2 linked regions of the Callithrix jacchus genome follow. The protein of the gene in region 2 interacts with the protein of the main gene of each other region in a biochemical or structural test. Links are inferred from orthologs where the notes say so. Each region holds a gene or a part of one and is shown on either strand. Other genes may lie near its edges.

Region 1 (3,600 bases), on a different chromosome or scaffold from region 2:
TTTGTTAGAATAAGACTCTTGACTATCCCAGCCAAAGGAAACCACCTCTCCTGTGAGTGGGCTCCGGGAACGGACACACTTCTATCACTGCACACCCTTCCAATAACCTTCCCAAGAGTGAGCGGAAGCCAGCCTACTCTGAACAGGACACAGACTGCAATTTGCCACTGTCCCTGGCTGCCCTCAGGACTCCCCTCTCCTTGGATTGCCTGGGCACCAGCCTCCGCTGTTCCCCTAACCCCAGCTGCCTCTGGTGCTTCCCACCAGTCCTCCAAGCCCAGTCTTCATGCTGAGTGAGTCAATCCTAGAATTTTTTCAGAGGAGCTTTGATCACCACAGAGAAGGGGCCGAGCACCTTGGAGCACAGCAGCTGCCCATGCCACACTGGGCTGAATGCTGGCTCTTGGCACCCCAGGGCCAGTTCCTCTTCTGCTCAGATCCTCTTGGGTCAATTCTAGGCTTATTTGCCCCACAGAAAGCAGATCTCAAGGTATCTTCACCCTGAGTGGTGCTCCCATTCCACTGACTCTCTAGAAGACATTGAATAATTCCTTGAGCCCCTCTGGGCCTCAGTTTCCCCACTTGCACAATATGGTGGTGACAGGATCAAAAGTTTAATGAGGCTCTTTTCAGCACAGGGCTGGACACTGAAACATAGAATTTGCATTCCATACCCTGGCTGTCGACTGACCTGACCCTCTCCATGCTCCTGAGACAGCAGCCTGACCGCCCTCATTCCTCCTCCCACTCATTACCACCGACTCAGGTGTACCTGCCCAATTCTAACTGAGTGGAGATGAAGTCAAAGAGATGGAGTTGAGGGCAGTGGCGAGGGCCTGGGACTCCAGTAGCTGGTGCCGCTTTTGCTTAGGGTCCGCTAGATCCTGAAGGATGGTGGGAACCTGGGAGAGGGCTTGGGATGCCATGGCATGGTGGGGGTCATGTGGTGTTCCTGTCTGGATGATACCGCCTAGGCTCACCGGGAAACACACCAGGGGTCTCAGCAGGAGGTGAGCAGACACCTGGGAATGGACCGTAGGCCCAGGATGTTAAAAGGAGATGGATCCCATGGCCCGGGGCTGGGCTGAAGGCACTAAGGAGCACAAGTGTGTCCTGCACTATCTCAGCCATGGCGTCCTGATCTGGCTGTGCGCTGCTTTCCAACAGTTGTTTGCAAGGCAGGCCTACTGTCCCCAATATCGTTTCCCCCCACCCTCATCACTACCACTAACAGTCCCCACACCTCTGCCCCCGACCAGCCCTTGGCCTCTCAGACAAGGCTTGGCACCTCCACTTTCTACCAGGGCGCCACCAAAGACGATCAAATAACACAGAGTTCGAGAGACACCTCCCATCAGGGTTCGTGGATCTGTCCGGCTGAGAGAGAGAGGAAGGCAGAGAGCCCTCTCCCATCTCAGCGCGTAGAGATCTCTCCCCCTTCTAGCAGCACAGAGATCAGACAGAAGAGATGCGGCCCCTTTAGTGCGTCAAAGGGCACCGAAATCTCTCCATGATCTAAGGGCGCAGAGATCTCGTCCCACACAGAGGACAGCCCGAGCAGACGGTTCCCTCTGTGCCCAGAGAAAGGGGGTGCTTGGCTTCCTCCCTCGTATCCAGCCCCACTCAGTCAGCCCCCGCAACCCCCGCTCTCTGGAACCACGATCACTGCGCGCCCAGTCGCCGCTCTGACCTTGGGGTCTCCGGCCTCCGGAATCCGGGTCCCAATCCCAGACCCTACCGGAGCCTGCGCCAGGGATGGCCGGGAAGCGGGGGCCGCAGTTCCCCCTCCCCCGGCCCTCGACAGCGCACCGGGAAACCCGGAAGGAAAGGGAAGGGAAGGGGGGCGCGCGGTGATCAGGGACGCCTCCCCCGGGGATCCCCTCCAGCCGGGCGGATCTGCGCTCCTTCTCCCACTCCGGCCCTCTGGGGCACTGGTCGGGGAGGGAGCGGCCGGGAGGACCTGGGGCAGGGGAGGAGCACGCAGGGTCTGGAGGCTTCGGCTCTCGGGGAGGAAAGTTGGGCGGCGGCAGGCAGAGGGGGCTCCGGCCGGGCCGGGGCTGCCGGACGCGGGGGCGCTCGCTCACCTGCTGGTCCCCCGGCCCGGCCCCGGGGTGGGCGGCTGCGGCTCGGCGCGGACTCGGCTTGGCACGGCGCGAGGCTCGGGGCACTGGGCGCGGGCTCAGCGGCCCCGGGGGAGCAATCCCCGCATCCTACGGGCGCCGCCGCCGTCTCGGCTGCGCGGCTCGGTCCGGGCTCCCGGGCTGGGCAGGCGGCGCGGGCTCGGGCTGGGGGCGGGGTCGGGGGCGGGGCCCGCCTGGGCTCGGCCTGGGGCTCGGGGCCCCGGGCTGGCTCCGCCCCAGAGCGACGCGCTCGGGGCTCCGCACGTGGCGCTCCGCCCGCTCGGAGGGGGACACACCCGCGCCCGCCCAGCCCGCCCGGGCGCACACGCCCACACTGACCCGGGGGCGCAGCGCCACAGATGGCCACCCACGCAGAGGCAGACAGACACGCGGGGGGTACACACGCCGACCCGGGGACGCTTCGCCACAAATGGCCACCCACGCAGAGGCGGACAGGCACACACTGGCAAACACTGTCGCGCGCGCGCGCGCGCACCCACACACACGACCTGCTGACTTGGGAAGGCTACAGCAGACACCCAACCACCCACCCACGTGGACACGGGAGTCCACTGACACTCATGCCGAGACAGACACACGCTGCCGTAGGCATACCTGCACTGACACAGACACACACCTGCACCCTGAGACAGACACACACACCCACACACCCACAGACACAGACAGACACATCACTGACACACAGTGACACTGAGGAAGACACGCTGACAAACTCAGACACCCACATGACTTAGACACACATCCACTGACACACTGACACAGAGACGCACACACTCCAACCACACTTTCCTGGAGACACAGGGATGGCACAGACATCTGCACAACGGTACACACCTACCTGAACACACGCACACGCTGACAGAACCACACACACACCCAGACCCAGAGTTAAGCAGGCAACCGACACACAGACACACACACAGACATACACACACAGAAACACACACACACACATTCACCCTCCTGGGCCACACAAAACCTTCACCTTGTCGTACACAGAGGCCTGGAGTCACACACCCACACACCCACTGTCTCGCACACAGAGACAGGGTCACAGGCACACAAGCACGGAGACAGACGCTGACAAACCGTTGCTCACACGCCCCTACCCAGAACCTGCGGGGACACACTTCTGCTTTAAACGAAACAGGCTCCCAGCTTTTGCCCACAGATCAGAGCGGCCATTGGAAGGGACAGTGCACTCTCCTGCCACATTTTCGGGGTTCCCGGAAGCAAGAACCGCTCTGAGAGAGACAAATGGGCGCCGGGGTCCCAGAGGGCACAGAGGTGCTGAGTTTGGGAGCCCGGAGGCTGGGACCTGCCCCTCGGTGATCAGGATCTTGGAGACCTGGGAGGGCGACGAGCGGGTGGGGGATAGCGTCCCTTTGCAACCTGGGTGTGGGGCTTCGCTGGACGCCTTAGGGACATACAGAGGGGCTGCTCTGCTTGCAGGAGGGGA
Region 2 (3,150 bases):
TCATGTCACTGTACTCCAGCTTGGGCAACAGCGAGACCCTGTCTCTAGAAAGAGAAACAAAAATCCAGTGGATTCTGCTTTTGACTGTTATGTTTTTGGGCTAATCACTGATAACTAAACTTTTCTAAGTAACTCATCCACAGCAGTGGCTGTTGATATTCCAGCTGATGAAGTCACATGAATAGCATGATCTTATTCAATCCTCATGTTCAATCTAAAAGTCCTACGTATTGTTTTTATTTTACAGATAATGAAAAAGAGGTAGAGCTGCTAAGTGAGCAGGCCCCCAAGTAGTTAGTGCTGAGTGGGAACAGGAACTGAGTCTCCTGCCCCTCAGCTGCAAACTTTCTGGTGGTTTCTTGTTTTGCAGTATGGGGTTATGGTACTGTGTGACATCTCCCTCCCACCTCTGCCACTTGGCAGTAAAATATCCATGTAGAAAAGACGGAAAGCATGCAAGTAAATATGCTAGCTCTGGAAATAAAGAATCTTTAGGGTCCTCCCACCCCCTTATATAGGTCTTTATCCATCTTGCCACCAGCAAACTATTCAATTGGCACCGAATTTGCTGAATATCAAAATGGCTTCATTTCTGTGCACGATAACAGGGAAACATCTTTTCCATAAATACCATTAAGAACCTGGCTTAACTCTCTCTTTTGAATACATAAAAACCACTATTTAAAAATGCCACATTAAATGTTTATGCCATTTATTTTCCTTAAATAATAATTTGCTACAATCCTGTCACAAATTTAAAAAAATTTAACACAGTATTCACAAAGGCAGAATTCTTTAGGACGATCAAAGTGATGGTCTTAGAATAAATTAACATCAGATTGTATTTATATTCAGATAGTCTGATCCTCTCCTTTGAAATGCAATGGAGACCATTGTAACTGGGGGTGAATGCACACAGTTGTTCTTCTATACAGAGACTCATTCTTTATGTATACTCAACGGTAATTTGAATCGTTAGAAATCCTGAGAAACACTCACCCCTGGGCACACACACGTACACACCCCACGGCCAACCCTCCAGAAGCTCGGTTTCCCATGGTTCAATTACTAGACGCTCTTTTCTTGAAGGCCAAACATTCAGAATATTTAGATGACATTGTCCCATCTCCCCTTGGAAAAATCATAAAGTTTCAAGTGTAGGAACTTGAAGTAGCAGCAATACATGTAGGAGATTCAGTAGTCAGTGATTCCAGTCCTGGGTGCTGAGTGTGCAGTAGGAGGCAAGCAGAGACAAGAGACACACCTGCTTCTACAACTAAGCCACGAGATGACCAGAACATACTGAGGGTCCCAGTTCTCAGAGTCTCAGCTGAAAACTCACCTGAATGCACATTACAAATCCAGGTCAGGCACCAAGAGGAAACCTGAAGGGGGATACGATTCTCAGAAACATGAGTATCAGAAGTTGCCGGGAGATGAGACAAAGGGAGAGAGGGCAGAGAGGTGCTGCTCAGCCTTCAGCCTGACCCCCAGCACCCTGCCATTTAGTATATTTGTCAGGGTTTCCTTAGCATCAGTGCAGGTGAACCTGAGTTGTTCCAGCTCCACCTAGAAGTACAGAAAGCTCAGCCCTTATAGTCTGACACACAGAAACAAAACATCCAAACGACCCGAGATAACTATACCATCTTGTTGCTGGGAGGTCAACAGCTCTGTGGGTGTCCCGTCTCAATTGCTCCAGGATGCCAACAGGGGTGTGTGTGGTGATGTTAGGGAAGAAGGCATTAGGACAGGCCCCAAACTGAGATCCCTTTTGTATCTTTCCATAGAAATACAGGCCTAAATGATGCCATAAATGCATGCTTATCTACACCAGTTCCTATGTACACAATGTCTTTTCTACAGAAATTTAAAGTGCCTGGGTTCAGAGGTGCCCATTCCTTTCCCACAGCTACTGGTTCCTCTTGCTGCTTCCAGAGAGGAGGTCTGCCCTCCTCTCTCAAGGAGGATGGCCTTGGGAAAGAGGAACGGACGTTTTCACAGTTGTCTTAACTAGGATCCAGCATCTGGACTAAGCCTTCTTCATACACACGAAGAATCGCTTCACACACAAACTTGTATTGGCTCTGGAAAAGAAAACAAAGCTGTTAAGTCCCGTAGCTTCAGGAAATGCTGCCCACCCTGTACCGGTGGGTCTTTTGCAGCATTTGTAAATACTTCCTGAGTGCCAACTCCCCCATTTGTGTGGAGCCTTAATCATGCTCATTCCACACCGCGTCACCGCCCTGCTTGGAGTTCCAGGGGAAATCCCCAAGGGTTCCTCTTGAGGACAAGAGGATGTGGCACATGACCCTGCTTTGAGCTGTTCCACCCATGGAGGACTGTGCAGGTACTCAGGGACCACATGGGTGGGACAGATCTCAAAGTAGGGTCATATGAAACATGCACGGAGCCAAAAGGAGTACCCAGGTCTAGGTAGGAAGGTGATGTAGAAACGATGGTTCAATGATACAGAATCCAACCAGGGCTCCTCCCTGACAGACGGGCTGGTAGGACAAACCACAGAGGCAGCAGAGCTCAGAAGGGAGATGGGTGTGGGTTGTAGCCACTGACAAGCTCTGAGAATCTGGGCAAGTGGTTCAGTCCCCTGAGCTGCAGTCTCTTGACCGACGAAGCCCTCCTCTCAGGCCTGCCTGGTGTAAGTGCTCAGAAGGGGACAGCCATCATTATTACTGGATTTCTACTCACTGATGTCTGCACCATCATGGCGCGCTGGTCTCGCATTTTTCGGACAATATCCAGGGGGTAAACGGGCAGGTTCCTCTCAGTTAGGCACATAGCTGTTTCCATAGTGACCAACACACCGGTTCGACCTATTCCAGCACTGGAAAGGGGAGAGGAGACAGATTTGGGATTTGTCTGAGTAGCCTTTCTGCATGGCCCAGTGTTGACTCAGAAGGGGCTTTCCTCTCCTGGCCTTGGAGAAGACAAAATGCACTCAGGGTGCGCTCTCAAACAGGCTGAGACAGCCTATCCTCACACAGCCGAGGCTGGGGGCTAACAGCCAGTGGAGAGAGAGCCAGTGCTAAGTGCCAAATCCCCTCCCTTTCTCACTCATATCTATGATGAAGGTCAGCTGACAGAGGGCAGGAGAAAGGGCGTGCGGGGGACTTTCTTCGTCAGCTCTGC

Evidence for each region.
Region 1: the proteins of PTPN3 (region 2) and SCN5A form a complex in vitro, tested with the Homo sapiens proteins (2 studies listed by IntAct, with this or other methods). The link is inferred for Callithrix jacchus from reciprocal best matches to the Homo sapiens genes PTPN3 and SCN5A.

The regions. Positions count from the first base shown.
Region 1 is NC_133518.1:76,507,615-76,511,214, forward strand, and holds the start of SCN5A (sodium channel protein type 5 subunit alpha), read right to left. Parts: upstream 2,251-3,600; 5' UTR 2,085-2,250; intron 1-2,084. UniProt on the Homo sapiens protein: Pore-forming subunit of Nav1.5, a voltage-gated sodium (Nav) channel that directly mediates the depolarizing phase of action potentials in excitable membranes.
Region 2 is NC_133502.1:157,753,988-157,757,137, forward strand, and holds the end of PTPN3 (tyrosine-protein phosphatase non-receptor type 3), read right to left. Parts: intron 2,846-3,150; coding exon 2,710-2,845; intron 2,088-2,709; coding exon 2,010-2,087; 3' UTR 696-2,009; downstream 1-695.